Linked DNA regions of Drosophila melanogaster. The protein of the gene in region 1 interacts with the protein of each later gene in a pairwise test. Each region holds a gene or a part of one and is shown on either strand. Other genes may lie near its edges.

Region 1 (5,549 bases):
TATGATGTTGGTGATCTTTATACTAATGGAATTCTTGATTTAGATCAATTTCTCCAAAGGCTTGAATTGCAGGCCGGTATATATGATATCAGCCAAATCAAAATGGCACCGTGGAAAAAAATCTTTGAACACGTTTCAATAGATAAATTTAAAAATATGGGCAATAAAATATTAAAGAATTTAAAAGTAGCGCTACTTAACCCGGTGACCCAAATAAATAATGAAAAAGAAAAAGAAGCTATATTGTCTACATTACATGATGATCCAATACAAGGAGGGCATACAGGCATTACAAAAACCTTGGCCAAGGTCAAAAGACATTATTACTGGAAAAATATGAGTAAATACATAAAAGAGTACGTAAGAAAATGTCAAAAATGCCAAAAAGCAAAAACAACAAAGCACACAAAGACTCCAATGACGATAACTGAAACACCAGAACATGCTTTCGATAGAGTTGTTGTGGACACAATTGGTCCACTACCCAAGTCAGAAAATGGTAACGAGTACGCAGTCACTCTCATATGTGATTTAACCAAGTACTTAGTTGCCATACCAATAGCAAATAAAAGCGCAAAAACAGTCGCAAAAGCTATATTTGAATCTTTTATTCTAAAGTACGGTCCAATGAAGACGTTCATAACGGACATGGGAACAGAGTATAAGAATTCAATAATTACTGACCTGTGTAAATATTTGAAAATAAAAAATATAACATCAACAGCTCATCACCACCAGACAGTTGGAGTAGTAGAAAGAAGTCATAGAACTTTAAACGAGTATATACGATCCTACATATCGACGGACAAAACCGATTGGGACGTATGGCTTCAATATTTCGTATACTGCTTCAACACGACCCAATCTATGGTACATAATTATTGTCCATATGAATTAGTTTTCGGTAGAACAAGTAATTTACCAAAACATTTTAATAAACTACATAGCATAGAACCAATATATAACATAGATGATTACGCTAAGGAGAGTAAATATAGGTTAGAGGTAGCATATGCTCGAGCAAGAAAACTTCTTGAAGCACACAAAGAAAAAAATAAAGAAAATTATGACTTAAAAATAAAAGACATAGAATTAGAAGTAGGAGATAAAGTTTTACTAAGAAATGAGGTAGGTCATAAATTAGACTTTAAATATACGGGGCCCTATAAGATAGAAAGCATAGGAGATAATAACAATATTACGCTACTTACTAATAAAAACAAAAAACAAATAGTTCATAAAGATAGATTAAAGAAATTTCATTCATGATTGAATTTAAACTTATATTTTCCTTAATCATTTATACAAATTTTCCATACACTACGTATATTTTTATCTTTGCATTATAAAATCAACTATTGTTGTTCAAACAAAAACACAAACAAAATAAAAATAAAAATAAAATAATTTGCATTTAATAATCAAAATAACTTCACTAGGTTACGTTATTTTTCAAAAGGAGGGAGATGTAGTATGTGCCTATGCAATATTAAGAACAATTAAATAAAATAGCATATTAACTTATGGCAGCACTTTGTTGCTATGTTTATGTTTATGCACGCAGTTAGGCCAGGGCGGATGTAACATGATCACCCACTCGAAGGCCACAAAGTATAAGTGCATTGCCCACTCGAAGGCAAAAAGTATAAGTGCATGGTCAGCATTCACACGCCGACCAAATACATATTACATACGTACATACATATCTCGCTCTCCCGATAAGCCTAGATATATAAGATATACATAAGAACGCCGCTCCGCTGCTGGCGTACCCGGCAGCGCAGCTACGCGGATTAGCCTAAGTCAAAATATATAAAAAACTGTAAAATCGGAGAGACTCTGTAGACGTTGAGCTGACAGAACCATTTCTGCCTACTCTAAAATCAAAAGAAGAAATTGAATAAATATATGTCAGCCCGACGGCTGCCTTCAACTTAAAACGGACTTGTGTTCTTAATTGGAGTTCATCATTACACGAGAGCAGTTGTAGAACTAAAATTGTTGTGCTATATCGCTAAACGGTGAACGGTAAATATTGAAGAGAGTTTTCCTGGCTTCAATTTTCCTTTGCAATCGCCCCCACCATCCTTGGAATTTTGGGTTTTTTGGAAGAGAAAAACACATGTGGTGTGTCGCCACAGTGTTTTGGTTTTTCTCGGCCGCCCAAGTAGACGGCGCGTAGTTTTTCATTTTGACGGGAGTTTTCCTTTCGGTCGTCGCCTTACACTCATTTCTAATTGTGATTCGTAGGAAGTAAGTTGTCTAGTGCTATATATATATATATTCAAGTAAAATTGTTTTAAATCGGAACACACAACAATAATATATACAAGTAAACACCACTAAATATCGGAAAAGAAAGAAGAGCAAATAATTAAATTACAAAAGAAACCAAGAGAATATCAAGCTAAATCCCATCATCCCATCATCCCATCGTTTTTGGTCTTCTGGTTCTTGTTCATCACCGACGTTATTGATATTGATATTGAATACTGGATATTAAGATACATATATACAAACGCATCGTATCTGGGATAAACGTTCATCACAAGGAATATTAATGATACGCAAAGGCTGTAACTGTAAACTGTGTCCCCTCTCACGTAAGACGTAACGTAAGGCAGCCTGTGGAAACGACGTAGTTTGGACGCAATCAGAAAAATCTCCAAGGAGGACGCAGCTAACGGTGAGTTTTCCTGATGACAGAACAGGGGATTGCTTTTGGGTGGGGGGAGGATGAATGTCACTCGCAGGGAAAATGAAAAATGCCAGGCGAAAATTCTTGGCCATGCAACTCGTTTGGCCGCTCTGCCTCTTTCGCTCCCGCGTACGCTTATGTGTGTGTTTATGCAGCGGAAAACGTGTATTCTTGAGAAAAACCAGAAAATCGAAACCCGGAATTGGGTCAGTATGTCACACGCCGTCCCGCTCCCACCGATTCCAATTCCGATTCCGATTCGAGCTGCTAGTCTGGCTAAAAACTCTGGCTAAAACGTGTTTCGTGCTTAGTCAATTTGTTCTTTTTCATCTAGTCGCAGCTGCGCTGCCGCAGTTGGCGTCGCTGCACGGCCACTTGACTAAAAGCGGCCTAAACAGCATCGCCTCCAGAATGCCTAAAAAACAAAACAACAACATGTAGTGCCGCTGCACGTGTGCGAAAGAGAGGGCGGCGAAAGGTGGGAAAAAGACAGAATGTCTGTCACCCGCGCGACCAACTTAAATACCCTGTACTTATGTGAGGGAATATTGTAGAACAGCTTATTAGTATAGATTCTACACAATAAAACCGTTTAATCATATCACGAAATATTGATAATTAGTACATACAAAACATATGTGGTTTTGTCAGCATAACAAATAATATTATAATAATATAAGGTCAATACATGAGATTTTTAGGCCCTAATATAATTTTCCTAGAGGCAGAACTGCTTTTTTATTTATTATTAATTGCTAGATTCTTTTATACAAAGATAGTTACTTTTTAACTTACACATGTATGTACATATGTATGTGAATGTACATATATGTATATGCTGAGTATCTCCTATTCGCCAGCTTATCTTTTGTGATGTAAAATGATAAATGGCTCGCTCTCCGACTTTCGTAGTTTTGCCTCTCTCTAGTTTTTCGGCCACTCGCTTCACTTGATCTTGCACTCGGATTTCGGCCGAGTTGCAGTCGACAGCGCTGTCAGCGTCGACGGCGACTGCGGCGGCGGCGCTTTTACCTTGAGCACGCCTGCACTTGTCACAGCCCCTCCCCCCGCCCACCGACTCACACGCCGTTTGAATTTGAACTTCTGAAAAAGCCAACACCTTTCGAAATTGTAGCCGCTTTTATTTCTTTTTCTTTTGCCTCCGAGCAGCGGCATTTTTATATTTCTGATGTTTGCTAATAAAATTATTACGACTTGGCCGACAGCGGCTGCTAATGCGTTTTAAGGTCGCCGACGCTGCTCTTGTTGATTTTGATCCAATAAAAAAATGTGATGATGCCCCGCTTAGATTTCTCGGTCCATTTAACATGTGTCCATTGGCCCAGGATCCGATTTGATTTATTTCAAAGTTATTTATTATACAGTCAGGCGAAAAGCAAAACAAACATGAATGGGGAAAATTGAAGGCAAATGGCAGACAGCTGGTGCTCATTTTCCGGGATGCGAAAAAGGGATAGAATTGGGATAGTGCACTGAGAAAAATCAGTGAAAGAGTTCATATCATATCATACTGCATATGTTTGCATCTCAAGAATCTCTTTGTATGAGTAGAGATCAAATGGATAAGGAAACAGCTTTCGTTCATGAGATGTCTATCTCTAAAAACTACTTATAGGTGGAAATTTATTCTAGACAAGGGTAGAGAGCACTGCAAATACGTATCCAAAAACAACTCCCCAGATAATTCATCATTACATCATAACCGTTGCGAATTCATGACTAATGGCCGATGATTTTTCTCTCTGTGGGGAATACGCGACGTCGTGGGATAGGGATAACAACACGGAAGAGGCTCCATTATAGGTTGCTGGTTTACTAGTTAACTGGGCTCCAGCCAAGGGAGCGAAAGGGAAAGGTGACGAACGAGAGGGAGAGAGCGAGAGAGCTAGGGGGAATCTGAATTACAGAGAGTGGGCGGGGGTGGTGACACTGACAGTGGAGCACCTTCGTCATCGTCAAACATTCGGGCTGTATAAGAGCAATAAATAATGCACACGAAGAGCAGTGATGAGAGCCAATGATATGGGAAAATATCGGACGAGAAATTCGACAGAGAGAGAGAGAGAGAGAGAAAGCGGAGAGAAATTTGGGGGGCGAGCGTAAGAGATTCGCCTTGGGGGGTTGATTGTGTTTAATTTTTGCACTTAAGAGCGCAAAAAGTGGCTTTGATTTTCCGCCGGCCCTTCTCACGCAGCTTGGGGCATGCCAACTTTGATGGCCGATTTGACCAACCCCCAGGAGGGAATTCCCAACTTGGCTCATTAAATTGATAACATTAAGCAGGCGATATTTAATTTGATTTTCTCCAGACACAAACACAATCTGATACACAAATTGTATAGATTCTATAAGTTATAGTTTTCTGAAGATTTAAACTTAAAACAAAATTACTGTACTGTTTTCATAGTGTAAAATACCTATGCTAATTTTAGTTTTCGTGGCACTTTTAAATATTATACATAAGCATGATAATTTGTCAAAGTTTCTTGTAGTGCATATATTTTTCGCAGAGAGCATCCACTCAAAAATATTTCCGTATTCTTGGCAACATTGTTGTTGGCGATGGGTTAGTGGGCGGAAAAGTGGGTGTTGCGTGGGCAGTCGCCCCACATTTGCATGTTCCCAACACGGCACACATTTTCTCGCTTCTCTGCGCCGCTCACGCGTCTCTCTCTCTCTCGCTCTCTCTTGCCATTTTTCTCGCTCTCTGGACGGATGCCCAAGTATATAGCCCAAAGTCCCAAATTGGGATAGGGATGCGAAGGCTATAGCGCTAACCTATATAATTTTTTGTGTTCCGCTTCTAACAACAAGCACATCCTCTGGTGGT
Region 2 (3,729 bases), on another chromosome or scaffold:
CATAAATAATGCAAACCAGAACAGGACAATGTGAACGACCTCTGAGAGTCCTTTGCCAGGAACTTACCTCTGAATAAGCAACACAAAACACTCTAGTCTTTCGTGATATATGTCTACATTTTTGTATGCATTTTTTTATTGGTGCTGTCAATAAATAAATGAACAGTTATAATAAAGCCAACAATTCTATATATGTACAGCGTCGATTTTAGCCAGGATCTAGTGGTGGTAGGCGACGGCGGGAGCCGAGTACGAGGTGTAGGTGGCAGCGGGGGCGGCATAGTGGGCGGGAGCTGCGTAGTGGGTGGGAGCAGCATAGGTGGCATATGCAGCGGGGGCAGCATAGTGAGCCACTGGGGCCACAGTCTTGACCACAGCAGGAGCAGCGTAGTGGGCAACTGGAGCAACGGTCTTGACCACAGCGGGAGCAGCGTAGTGGGCGACAGCAGGGGCGGCGTATTGGGCAACGGGAGCGGCGACGGTCTTCACAACGGGGGCAACGGCGACGGCCTTGACCAGGGGCTCACGGTTGACAACGGCGTTGAATCCGTTGATGGGATCGGCGGTGTACTGGACGGTCCTCTTGTAGCCGTCAGCGTCGATCAGGGAGTACTCTCCGCGTACCACATCTCCATCGCGCTCCTCCACCTGTCCCTTGTTGTCACCGGTTAGCTTGTCATCGACTCCGTAGGAGAAGCGGTACTGGGGGTGGGGGTCGTACTCCTCGGCGGCCTTGACCACGACCTTTTGGGCGACGGCCACGGGGGCGTGGGCGTAGGTGGCCACCGCTGGGGCAGCATGGTACACCTGTGGGGCGGCGATGGGAGCATAACCGGCGCTGGCCACGGCGACGAAGGCGAGGGCGAAGACAAACTAAATTCAAGAGCGTTAGATATCCAACCGGAATTTCGTATACAGTTGATCCCGGATTTCCATCGAGATGACTCACCTTGAAGGCCATGTTGCTAGGAGTGCTGATTGGTAGTTCTTTACAGAAGTGAACTGGATCTGCGAATGATACTTTTCTGTGTCCGATCGACAACTTTTATAGTAAATCAAGCTGCCAGCTCTGCTCTGCTTTGGCCCAATACGCCGACAGCACGTGTTATTTTCGCGGTGACAGCGAAATATATTAAATGCTTCTCGACTGCGATTGTTGTCGGGCAATAACTTGTACTTCCTGTTCGTGGCGCTAAGCTCAGTGGGTGTGCAAATGCTTGTGGCCACAGATTCTAAACCCGTCAGCACCGAAAGAGTGAAAGATCTTTGGGGAAAGGTTTGCGTAATACCGAAAGGGCTTTGCCGGCCGCAATGTGTGGCTAATTACTTTGTTATATAACGCTGTATAAGATCGCTTTAAGAAGATATACTGATCATATATTTTTTTCTTACAAAGCAAATCGCAAAATTTTGATTAGGTTTTTTTAAAGATTTTCGAATCTTTAGAGTTCACTGTGCAATCTGATTGATATTCTTTAAATACTCTATACATATATGATTATAATTATACGAACGGATTTGCAATCTTAAAGAGTTGAATGAACTTTACACTGTGCTGGATAAGAAAAAACTCTTGAAAAAAGATTAATATTTTTTGAAATTGGTTGACACTACAAAAACTGTGGTTCTAAAAACTAAAAGCTAAGTTGGGTCTGCGTTAGTGTCCTAAGGAACACAACTACTTAGCTACATCTAAATACCTAACATTCTATTTACACTCAGATAATAATTTATCAGATACACATTTAAGAGTTTGGCATTTATGGGTCTTAGAACATAAACGTTAAAAATATATTACACAATGCATTATTTTTGTACAATATATAGAAAATCGCTGCTTCATTCAAAATAAATGCCCTTTTGCGAAGTCTGTGGGAATCAAGGCCACCCACCAGACATCCACGATCCCATCCTTAAAATATCTTGGATAATCGAAACGCTATTAGCAGATGCAATCCATTCCCAACTACCAATTTTAACGTGGGCACCGCGCGAATCCGCCGAATCCTTTCTAAATAATTGGACTGCATCTCGCATTCGCAAATCCCTTCTCCTCTCTTGGTTCTCTGCCGGCGTCTCTGCCGACTTTGCCGTTGACTTCGCAGAGCGGTGACTTCGCGCTAATTTGGAGCATGATATTCAGAAGGCCAAGCGTAAGCACCTTGCTTCACCTGAGCAGAAACTGCAAGCGGGAGCTATAAAACCGCTGGCCGGCCAGAAACCGTATCATTCAGCCATCAGCACCGTTTCCGCAAAGAACTAACCCACGAATCCAAAAACCCTATAAAATGGCATTCAAGGTGAGTCCTGTGGTATCCCACCAGAACCCGTTTCTCTAACGAATATGTTCCCCAGTTTGTCTTCGCCCTCGCCTTCGTCGCCGTGGCCAGCGCCGGTTATGCCCCCATCGCCGCCCCACAGGTGTACCACGCTGCCCCAGCGGTGGCCACCTACGCCCACGCCCCCGTGGCCGTCGCCCAGAAGGTCGTGGTCAAGGCCGCCGAGGAGTACGACCCCCACCCCCAGTACCGCTTCTCCTACGGAGTCGATGACAAGCTAACCGGTGACAACAAGGGACAGGTGGAGGAGCGCGATGGAGATGTGGTACGCGGAGAGTACTCCCTGATCGACGCTGACGGCTACAAGAGGATCGTCCAGTACACCGCCGATCCCATCAACGGATTCAACGCCGTTGTCAACCGTGAGCCCCTGGTCAAGGCCGTCGCCGTTGCCCCCGTTGTGAAGACCGTCGCCGCTCCCGTTGCCCAATACGCCGCCCCTGCTGTCGCCCACTACGCTGCTCCCGCTGTGGTCAAGACCGTGGCTCCAGTTGCCCACTACGCTGCTCCTGCTGTGGTCAAGACTGTGGCCCCAGTGGCTCACTATGCTGCCCCCGCTGCATATGCCACCTATGCTGCTCCCACCCACTACGCCGCCCCCGCTGTTGCCTACCACCCCTGAGAACTGACATTCCACATTGCCCAGCTCTTTATTGTTATAGTTTTACGAACGACTTCTATATATATAAAAATATATTTCACATTTAAAAAGGTTATATCACTGTATCCTATCCAAAGGATATGTATTTCCTGGGGCTCAATTCGATTCACGAAGCAATACAATTTATTGTAATTACTTTTGCTTCGTGAGGGCTAAATTAGAGTGGCTGTGTGGCCAATTAATTGAATTAGGCTGCGACATTGAAATTCCAAATTCCAAAATTCCAAAGTTTTAAAGTCAAATTGAATTTTTTCTTTCAATCGCTCCATTCCATTGAGATATCTATGATGTTCGATTCGGGTCTGGACGTTGGCCAATCCTATCAACGAATAATAAATCATAATCAGATCGGTGTGAAATATTCATGTGTGCTTATAAAAGCAATTAACGGATATATAATATAAACGATTTTTTCGTTTGCCGGATTTCGATTTGATTTTGCTAAATGGAACTTCAGTGACCGGCTTTCCCATTCCCCTCTTTGCTCGTACCTATTACCATTAATTTTTTGTATTTAAACAATAGAATAGACTGACTACAAATAGTACACTTCCAAAAAACTCGTATAGAATCATACTAATTAGAATTATTAAATAGAAATGATGTATCTATGAAACTTGCTGTGATTGTTCAAACTTTTCAAAATGTTCAAGCAAACGCAAACAGCTTAGTTTTATGAATGAGTTCGGTTTTTTGACTGCTGAGATGCAGTGACCTTCATAAGTAACT
Region 3 (5,454 bases), 6.2 Mb from region 1:
ATTTACCTAGTCATAAAATAAAAGAGATTTTAAATATGGCTTTGCAAATATTATTTATAAGTAATACTATTTTTTAGTCCCTTGAAGATGGTCCAGATAATTAAAAGGTAGTAAAATTAAGATAATTATTAAAAAATTTTCTTAATTATTTGGAGTATTAAAATTGATAATTAGTAAAATTGGTCCGGGTTTTTAATCAACATATAAACAATAAATAAACAAACTTGTGTAATATTACTTAGCTTCTGTCAGCTAGCAATCGAAGATCACAACCAAAAGGCGAAACGACCGAGTTTTTCTAGCGTTTTCGAGGCGGTTCCGATACGTTTCTTGGTTTAGAGGAGATACTTCATAAAATAGGCCGATCTTTAAGCGGATCGACCCTAAGCACCTTTAGCCATTACGTCACGGGCAGCGGGTGATGTTCGGCGAGCTAGTGGGCCAAAAATAATGGAAAAGAGGTACAAATTGCCCAGGGCAATCGACGGCTTTAATGGTTTCATTGGCCAACCGGCGGCATTGAGTTGGTGGACCCAGCCCCTAATTAACCCTTTCGCAATTGCAGCTAAGCCTTAAAACGGCGGTGGGAAGTTGGGGGAGTGGCCCCTCCACGTGTTATATACATATGTAGCCGCGATAGTTTTAGGTATAAAATGATACCTTTGGTCCCGATACCTTGGGCTCGGAGTTTGATTAATGAGCGGCTTAAGTGAATCTCAAATCGAATCTGAGCCTGCTCGGCCGGCAGACTGATGAAGTCACTAATTTGACTTAAAAACGCATTAAAAACCATTTTCGATAAGAGCTTGGAGCCCCATATTGTGATTTCGGCGAGGGTTTTCCCGTACTTTTCTGTCTAGGTCTCGTCTTTGTGAAAGTTGTGCAAAATTGGAGCCAAGAAACCAAAATTGAACGATGAAGCACCCAAGGCGACGGATAAAATTCCAAAACCGCCTCGGAAGATTTGAGAGTGCAAATCTCTTGCTATTGGCAATCAGCTGTAAACATAAATAATGTTCGAGTTTGCGGAGAGTGGACTAACTGGATACCCAGTGAGTAAATCATGTAACCATACTCATTTTTATCACTAATTATCGAATTTAAATAATTCATTTCATTTTCTGAAAATCTTGAAAATCTTACTAGATATATTTCGGTCTATTTGGCTTATACTTTGAACCATAAAAATAATTTAGGCCTTTGATAGTTTAAAACTATTTTACGGTATACATCTCTTTCAACCTTTTTAAAAATTAAATTTATTTGTTTTTTTCTAATTATGTACACACATATTGCATATTCAATACTTTAAAATAAATTGACAGAGAAATTACTGCTCAGCGCTTTCTTCTTGGTTAAAAAGTATTGTAAATATTTATTAGGAATGAAAAAAAAAAAAATAATTCCCAATATACCTGTGCTGAAATATTACCCATAATTCCAGCTTTGGCAACGCGCAAAATTGATTTAAATGCCTTCGACGAGAGACAAAATCGGAGGTAACTCCTACAATTGTGCGTGGTCTTGGCCATTAAAAGCCTTTTCTTGCCAACATTCAATGTCTGTGCCGGAGGCAGCGCCAAATCAAATCAACGGCAGCAGTCACAAATCTGCGACAGATAAAAGCTGTTAACTGACCTTCATTGGCCATAAAAATCCAAATTCATCGCCCGAACAATGCGCCGTATCTATGGGCCAAAACCGGCGGCAACGACGAACAACAATTGGCGAGCAGAAAAATTAACAATTTAAATAAATTCACTTTATTGCAGTTCGCATATTGGCGACAATGTAAAATAAACAATAAAAGTGGTCAATAAATAAGGCCCACGTCATATCGAATGGCCCGAACCACTGGACTTCCGGTCTTGAATCGGGCCAAAAAAGAAAAAGAAAACCGCACCACATATCACATTATACTATGTGGCCAACGACATGAATCACGGGCCAAAAAGTTCAAAGTTGAGCGGGCTAAATTGAGAGATTAGCCTGGGAGATCAGAGCCGGCTATATCTTTTGCTATATAGCTCTGCTCTGACCCAAGCTCTGCTTTTCTCTGCCTCTTTTCCCGAGTTTGCGGCTCTGGGCCGCTGTTAACTTGGCTAAGACCGCTCAGTTGGCTACGAGCTGCCGCCGTGAGCATTGGCAAACGCGTGAAACGGAAAAGACGAAAACGAAATCGAAATCGAAAACCTAAAGTCCAAAAACCGAAATATCCGCGCTCTTCGGTACGTGTTAAGTTTTTTAATTAGTAGAATTTTCAAGTGAGTGTTCGGTGGCAAAAAAAGAGAAAATATTTCACTGAAATACAAAGAGCATAGCTAAGCTCGACAAAAGTGCACATAGTGATCAAAAACATTTGCCAAATACTGTGAAGCAAAAACCCAAACAAATCTACAAGCCGCACACTAGGTGAGTAATTATTAAATTGAATACTTTAATTCCCGCCATAAGTTAATAAATTTCATTGGTTCGTCATCGCAGCTCTGATTTATTATAACGCTTGATTGTTTTCCTTCTTTTTGTATACACTTGTAACCAAAATGTTAGGAAACCAGCAAACACAAATTAAATCAAAGCGATCACAAAACAAAATCCACAAAAAATGCAGACAACACTTTGGGTAAATACAAACAAAATATAATCAAGTGGGGAGAAAAAACCTTGAAAAGTCGTGCTTAATTTCTTAGCTAAATGCAGGCATAAAATATATGTTTAAAAAATTATAATGAAGCTCAGCTATTTGTCTGCCTCCAATCGAATCCATTGTTTTAGTCCCTAAATTAGCTTCAAATAACCCAACCTCTTTGTGAAGGAAAATAATTCAGAGGCTTTGGAAAAAATGCCCGAAGCAGAAGTCTGTCTCTTTGATAGTTTATTTAATGGATAGAAGTAAGGATAGATATTGTGGAAAGTATACAAGTTTACCAATTAAATAAACTAGAGAGCTTAAAACTTTCCTGTGTCAAACACTCGCGTAATAAAAACTTAATAAGCAATCATTATTATTAAATAGCTTTATAATTAATTAGCAGCATTTCGTTTCATTCAGCTCTTTTTTTTAGCCTGCTAATGCTTCAATTAGATGCCAACAAAATATTTTATCCCCTTAAAAAAGTGCCAATCGGGTGAATAAGTGAGAATGTCTGGGCGAGACAAAGATAAAGATCTGACAATCGATCATTACTCAGGCGGGATATAATTAATTAAATATAGATAGATGATTTTGCGGCCAAATCATTCAAATAAATTGAATGGGGCCCAGCGATTTTGAGCACTCAATTTCGAAAATGATGCCGCAGCCAATGGATTAGCCGCTAAAGCTTGGTCAAAGATCTTTAACAATTTCATTAACTTTTGGCCCGTCGGCCTAATGATGTGCAAATGGCCCAAAACACACCATAAAACACGCTGCCACTAAAGTTGCCAAGGGAAACAATGCCAAAACCCATGTCCAACTTCTTTTGGCTGCTCTGTGATTTATGAGGTGATCGCCTGGCGCAACTTTGGCATCGGGGAAATACCAGCAATACGTGGGTGTAGCCATGTGCAAGACTCCATTAGCAGATCGCAGACACTAAATCTGGCTTCGATGCACAGCAGAAAACATGGTTGGAAACGTGGTTTCAAAATACCTAAGCTATTTTAATCTCAGAGAAATATGTGTTATTATATGTATATATAAAATTGTATAAGCATTTAAAGCCCAGCTCAACTACTAAACAACATTTTGTGTTTCAAACTTCTGTTTGATACTTTAATATGCCGTGAATGTTCATTTATTATAATTGTTTTCTTTATTTTTTCATTTTTAATATTATTAATATAATTATTTCCTGTGTACCTTGACGGACACTTTGTCATTGGCTCTTGTTTGTTGACTGATTTGTTTTGCTTGGCTCGTGCAAAAGAGCCTGTGATCCCGGAAATCCTATCGCAGCTTGTGGCAGGTGTTTTTGTATCGGTATAAATTCCAATTGATTCTTGAATGCTCGCTGTTTTTACAGGCACCCCATGTCTGAGTGTTAAAGGCAATTGTTATTGCTTTTTGTTCTATAAATAATTGTGGTACACATTATATTGAAACTATAGCAAAACTTGACACGAAATCCGGTTTTTACCATTGACTGTGACAGCTTTAGATTTGATCACTTGTTAGCATTGTTACATTATAATAATTAAAATATTTGTATAACATTTTTTGTTAATTTTTAGCTCACTTTCGTTAGTTATGTCAGCTGTTAATTAACATTTAATTACGGGATTTTTAATTTTCCCAGATTTTAAAAGTTGATTTCATACGGGAAACATGTTGGGAATTTTTCTTTGAGCTTCTTGTTCATATAAAAGCATTGCTAACTATCGAAATCTAGTCAAAGTTATCTCATAGTTTCCGCAATAAAAACTGCTTGTATTATTATATATATATTCTCTCCAACAGTTGGTAATATATCACTTTAAATATGCAAAATATCTTGCATTGATCTAAACTTAAATTGTCTATAAAACATCCGATTTAAATACCGGCATATTGAAATTCCGTTTTAGAGTCCTAATAAATCATTAGAGTTTATAAGTATTGTCATTAGCTGACAGCTCGGGTCGCCAATTGAGAACGCCCCCACAATGCATGGGGCGTGTCCAGTCCATTATCTTCGCGGCGTATACTTAATCTGCGTATACTTAATCTTGTTGTCTGGAGCTTGTTCGTCACTTTCACTTTTGGCAATTTATTTTCGCTATTTACGGGAGTTGTTCGAGTTGTTTGGCTGTTGTTTGCTCAAGAGGCTGTCGGTGGTGTAGTTCGTGTTTGTGTTATTGTTTTAGTTGTTGATTGTTTAACTTAACAATAAGCCCAAGTGAACTGTGGGCAACAAATAAGCACTTTGAAGCATTTCCGCTGCGGAAAAACCATCACTTATTGTCTGTTTCGTGTCCCAATGGAAATGGTGCGAGAAATGGTCGTGTATTTGCCATTTTTTTGCGACTAATATTTGACCAAATAACTCATGGCAGTTTCTCTTTCGCTTCAGGTTTCCGAATTCACGTTGAAGACACTGGCTGAATCGCAATCGAGTCAAATGCAAATGCAAATCGACGGCGAATGAATTGACAATGACAAAAAGTATTAAACGTCCGCCCCCCTTTAGTTGTAAACAAGTTCTTCTTACCTATGTGGTGAGTATTCCTTCTCCCAGTACTCCTTATTATACTTCAAAATCTCCTTTCTCCAGATATTAGCTTATACAGTAGCCGCCCACAGCTCGCCCCCGCCATGTGGCCTTTATGGAGCCCCGCCTTGCCAGTTCCTCCCGGCGCCACCTGGACAAACGCCCACCTGTGCCCGTCCAGGAAAGACGTACTGCGAGCACGCCGATAACTACCCCACGTGAGTAGAGTACCCATAATAGTCCCCCATTGGAAAATTGTAGAATTCTTTTATCACATTAAGCC
Region 4 (5,434 bases), on another chromosome or scaffold:
GGCAAACTTCGCAGACTCAAGTGTGGAAATTTTCACTTTTTTGCCATAATTAAATTCATTTTCAAGTTGCTCTTGCTGCCTTTCTGCCGGCTTTCGACTCAACGAGATGCCACACCGACGCACACTCAACTTTTCACTATTTTTAGTCGTCCCAGTCGTAGTAGTAGACATTTTCCATTTTTCATTACAGCCCAAAGTCAGGCCGGCTGGTTTGCCTGGCCGCTTTTCCTCGTTTCATTTTCATGCAGCTTCCTGTGCCGTTGTTTCCGGTTTTATGCCTGCCAGTGTCTATTTGTGTATAGTTTTTGCCATTAGCAACCGTTGTCGGTTTGAGGGACTTAGGGGTGTTGTTGGGGCCGGGGCTGGTAGAGCCAACAAATTGGAGAATAGTCCCAGTTTCTGTCTCTATCGCTGCTGCCTTTGTTTCCAAGTTTCGGCTTAAGTTGTTTTTAAGTTGTAAATCTCTACGGGCATGCAATTTCCCCTGCCTGCCCAAGCTGTATCAAATTTTTCATTTGTGGTTAAAAATATGAAAATTGTAACTGATATTTATGCTTGTAATGCCTACGCTTGACATTTTCAGCCCAGAGGGGTGGTGTCCACAATAATTCATCTCTGAAATGCGTGTTCGAGTTTGTTATTTTTCGGATTACGTGTGCGAATTTGGCCCCTTGGAATTTTACTCATTTAAAACTGCCCGAAAGTGATACGTGTGCTCTATTGGTATTTTCGAAATCTGCCTCCTTGACTTCCGACTGACTGGGCCACGTTTAATTGAATGTGTTGCCAGTATGATTTTGGCCATCTGACGCATACAAAATTTCTATAAATATGTACGTTATCGTGCCCTGATATCGATCGCCTGGGGTGTTTTTTGGTTTGAATTGTAATTGTTCAGACATTGTTGTGAATACGTAAGCTGTTGTTATTTCTCTAGAGGTTGTTGTTAACTGAGCTTTTGCTTGAAGTTTTTGCTGCACTTGAATTCTAGTTTATTTTAAAGTTTCGCATTTTATTATTATATATAATATGTAGCATATTGTGTTATTTTGCATACTCTAATTTATTGCTCTTTAAGATAAATGCACAAATTTGACAAATAGAACACATTTTAGCACAAACAGCATTTCATTAGGATACAACTAATAGGATAAATTATTTTTTGCCATGGCCGTGTTTGAATGATTTGCTAACTTTTTAAGCCTGCACAAATCCTTGGCTGAAAATGAAATGCAATTATATCGCAAAATAAAATTCATTCAATTAAATCCTAACTGAAGCCCAATCTGAATACGTTTAGAATTGCAAATGACTATGATGGCGTTTTTGTTTTTTTTTTTGTTGAGAATAATACTTGATTTATTGGTCTTTACATGATATTAAACGGTTTGCATTTCCCAGAGTTTTCATATAGACATTTCAATAAATTAGGCAAAAATATTTGTCAATTTTCATAGATTTGCCTTCATTCCCAATATCAGAAAGAAAATTGGGTTATTTGGTTGCAGCCCAGTCCGTTATGATGCATTTAATTAAGTTTTGATATTGCAAATAAACACAAGTTTAGTCGCTGAATGAAATCGTTGTCTATTGAAAATTTATTCCAGTTGTTGATGCGAATAGTACCCCCCAGAACAAAACGCAGATCGTTGTCTGCCGCATTCGAAACACGTCTCAGGGGCAAAGTGGCAGAGACATTTCTCAATTTATGCAACACCTTTTGCCGGTGGAAATTGCGCCGAAACCGAAATCGAAAACGAAACCGAGACCAAGACCGAGAACCGAAACGGGACGAAAAGGACATTCACCCCGGGAAACTCGCTTTTCCACTCACCTGGCTTGGAGTTGTTGCCCACGAGCTGCTGCTGCTGCTGCTGTTGCTGTTGCGACATTTGCTGTTGCTGTTGCTGCTGCGAGTGCTGCTGTTGGCCATTGTGCTGCAAATGAGCAGCTGTCACCGACTGCTGCTGCTGCTGGGCGGCTGCTGCGGCCGCTGCAGCGGGATGGATGGCCAACAGCTTCGTTTCCGGCGGCTTGTGCGGACCCATTGTGATCTGCGGGGCACCCATGGCTATGGTCGGTGCTGGCATCATCAGGGTCGACATGGTCAGCATAATTTGCGAGTGAATTTTGGTCGCTGGACTCGGGAAGCGAAGCTGGGTTGGCTGGTGATGCAGTTGCTCTGGCTGGGAGTCTTTGTCTTTATTGATTTGCTGCTGACTCCTCCGCAGGATCTGAACTCGGTGCCAAAGGTCGTGCGTTAGCCTTTGTCGCCAGCTTTCTCTGGCTCTCGTCGCTGCTTTCTACTTTCTATGTGTGCGGAGTGCAAACTTATGAAATATGCTCTCGCCTTGCTTCGCCTCTATGTATTTTCACTTTTCGTGCTGGCTGGTTACTCTATTTATGTACTACATATATGTATATATATATATATCGACGTAAGTATGGGGGCATGTGGAAAATATGTAAGTATATTTTTTTCGCCTTTCTTTTATGTTTCGCTTATGTGTTTGTTCAACCGGAAATACACGAACTCAAGCGCACTTGGCTTGTAATATCGTTTCAGGGATTTCCTTCGCCTTCTGCCTGCCAGTAATCGCAAATTATTCTTTCTTTTCTGTTGTGTCTGCTGGCAGCGGAAATTATAAATATTCCTGTCATGCGAGTAGTACTACGAGTTCAGTTCTCTGCCTGCCAGACGTCTTCTGTTTTAATATCAATGTCTGGTATGTAAAATGTCAGGCCAAAAAAGAAAACGAAAATATGAAAAAAAAAAAAAAAATGAAAATATGTGAGAAAATAACAGGGGAAAATGCCAAACAAAAAAGTGAAGCCCTGCTCAGCCGGTTCAAAGTCGCTGGGAAAGTTTCAAGTAGCTGGCTGCAATGGCAATTATTATTTTGCCGGCAGCCTCTGAGTTTTTGTCGCGCGCGAATTTGCTGGCAACTTTAGAAGTCACTGACTCCAAGTGCGTGATAAGACCAGCTTAATAAATGTCGTGTATAGGTTAAGATTGAGTGATCTTTAAAAAATAATAGGTTCTAGCCCAAAGCCCAGAATAATTTGCCACTACGGCAAGGCAAGGTGTGAAGTCTATGTTTCGAACTACGCACGAACCAGGCCGACGTGATCAATCGCACACACAGGATATAATTTACAGGATATACAAAGCGTTCGGTATACGTTCGTACTAGACCGCTGGGCGACGCTTTTCTTACTGAACGCCAGGAGCACACGCATTGGCCAAAATTCGGAGGCGCTGCTGCCACTGCAACGACGGCAGAAAGGCTGCCGATTTTCCCGCTGTCGCTGCTGCTGTGAAAATCGCTGTCGCCGCTGCTGCTGCTGCCTCTGCCGTCGATGACGACGACGGGATGCGTTTCCCTACATTTCTCTTCGGCGGCGAGGAGTTCGGTTAACGGCGGCACGAAGCTGGCTGCCATCGCAGCCATCGTTCATGAAATATTCACGAATGGCTCGCTCTCACTCGCGCCGCCTGCTCCTTGCTGAATCCTTGCTCTCCGGCCCTCTCTCCGTCCCTCTCGCCATCCCAACTGGCTCGTTTCCTCGCTCCAGGCGCCATTCACAAGTCGCAAGCCTCGTCCTTTCAGGTCCTTTCGGCTCCCGTCGCCACAGAGCGCAGAATCCGAGCAGCCGAGAGCACAGGCTTTTCGAAAGCGCCAGCCACATTTGAAATTGACTGCCAAGGCTTGTTTTCTGATTTATAATTTAAATAAAAATATAATGTTATATCTTTAAATTAAAATCGTAATATCTACATGTAAAAATTCAGTTTCCAATTTAGTCAGAGCTTTTATAATGATTTTCCGTACCACTTGTCGCTTTAAATAGAACCTTCAGAAATGTCCTTTTGCGCCTCGTCACTCGAAAATACCAGTATTTTTATGGCATGCCCTGAAAACTGTTATACGTTGCAGGACAAGGCAAATGTTAAGAACAGCCAGCTGATGTTAATATTTTCTATTCTTTTTCATCTGAATCCATCCTTGCGTCCAAGTGGTCATAAAATATTAACTTTTAAAACTAATCTAACAATATAATATCTAACTAGGATAAAGCAGCAATAGCTTTTCAACAATTGTAAGCACACTTATATGCTAAACACTGTGAAAAAGGGTCAGATAAAAGCAACAACCTTTGAAGTTATTATTACTTAGTTTCACTAATATGAAATGTTTTGTATAAGCTACATACCATTAATTGCATGAGAAGCTTTGCTTCTCCTGCTGCCAATTGCCTTGCGTTAATTGTAGCCCTGGAACTAAATCCAAACAGGACAACAAAAAGGATGCAATTTAAGGTGTATCTCCCTATTATTGCACTCTTTTCTCCTCGTTATTACTCCTCTTTTTGCGTTATTAACATACTTTCTCGTGTCGACAGCGGTGACAGGGACAGCGAGCGACAGGACGACGGTGTTCTGAGGTAATGTTGCAAAGAGCAGTGCTCGAAAAAGTGTCTGGGCTGGGGAGGAGTCGCCAGTGAAATGGGGAAATGTTGGTAAAATACATAATTACATGTAATTTACCATGCGACATTATCATTGTTCTGCTCGTATTTAGCATAGAATCAACGTCGCACGGCAGAGACGTCGAGTGTCCATAGAATAGCTCATGTAGCGGACAACGGGTCTTGAATGTACTCTCCCTGCTCACCAACTCACAGAAGTACTCGAAAAAAATGATTCAACTTTATATTTATTTAAAAAATAAATAAAATTCTAAGGATTCAGCTTAAAACGTTCAGTTTAAAACCAAAGTTACATATAATTCTAGGGATCTCAAGAGTAAACATAACGATACTTCTACAAAACATTTCGATTCAATTGTAAATCTATGTTTATATTTGTGAAGAAAATCCTGATTTTCTTTTAGTGTATATTGCATGTGCTTAAATGCAACAAAAACAGCAGCAACTTCACGTAATAACAAAAGTGAAGTAAACAATAAGAAGAGGCCGTTAGAGCGATGCAAAAGACGAGTTTCTTTCTTGTTTGGCCCACTCTTTCTGCATGTCCTTCTGCCGCTCTCGCCGATTCTATGCACTTGTGTGTGTGACAATTGCCCTTTGAATTTTTAAATCCCTTTAAATGAAAACAACAACTGGGATCCCCTGCCTTTTGGCCTTTTGTTCTTCGAGTTGCGCTTGTTAGGTAAATCAGCGCCAGTTTGCATGAGTGTGTTTTGGTGAGCGAGTGTGTGAGTGTGCGATTATGCGATTGTGTGAATGAGTGAGCCTTTGCAGCAAAAACAACGAGAAAACAACAACAATATCATCGTGCGGAAAGTTATAACGTGCTTAAGCGTCTTAAGCTGAAATGAGGCTAAAAATATTTGCTTATAATGAAGTGCACGACTGTGTGAGTGTAAATGTGACCTGTGACCATGCACAAGTACACCCAAACAATTGTATG

The links.
Region 2: the proteins of bol (region 1) and Ccp84Aa interact in a two-hybrid assay, tested with the Drosophila melanogaster proteins (one large-scale study listed by BioGRID).
Region 3: the proteins of bol (region 1) and spz5 interact in a two-hybrid assay, tested with the Drosophila melanogaster proteins (one large-scale study listed by BioGRID).
Region 4: the proteins of bol (region 1) and CG34354 interact in a two-hybrid assay, tested with the Drosophila melanogaster proteins (one large-scale study listed by BioGRID).

What each region holds. Positions count from the first base shown.
Region 1 is NT_037436.4:9,127,034-9,132,582, reverse strand, and holds the start of bol (boule), read left to right. Parts: upstream 1-2,227; 5' UTR 2,228-2,686; intron 2,687-5,549. UniProt on the Drosophila melanogaster protein: RNA-binding protein that plays a central role in spermatogenesis. Required for meiotic entry and germline differentiation, at the transition between G2 and M phases of meiosis I.
Region 2 is NT_033777.3:6,701,859-6,705,587, forward strand, and holds Ccp84Aa (Ccp84Aa), read left to right. Parts: upstream 1-2,225; 5' UTR 2,226-2,288; coding exon 2,289-2,300; intron 2,301-2,355; coding exon 2,356-2,961; 3' UTR 2,962-3,045; downstream 3,046-3,729. Other genes in the region: Ccp84Ab, read right to left, coding at 220-873, 950-961.
Region 3 is NT_037436.4:2,888,825-2,894,278, reverse strand, and holds the start of spz5 (spatzle 5), read left to right. Parts: upstream 1-2,112; 5' UTR 2,113-2,412; intron 2,413-5,033; 5' UTR 5,034-5,115; coding exon 5,116-5,178; intron 5,179-5,234; coding exon 5,235-5,389; intron 5,390-5,454. UniProt on the Drosophila melanogaster protein: Neurotrophin which may function as a ligand for the Toll-related receptors Toll-6 and Toll-7. Binds to Toll-7 and Toll-6, and probably acts as their ligands in the promotion of motor axon targeting and neuronal survival in the central nervous system (CNS).
Region 4 is NT_033777.3:28,144,652-28,150,085, reverse strand, and holds the start of CG34354 (uncharacterized protein), read right to left. Parts: upstream 3,207-5,434; 5' UTR 3,159-3,206; exon of another isoform or gene 3,118-3,158; intron 2,587-3,117; 5' UTR 2,115-2,586; coding exon 1,835-2,114; intron 1-1,834.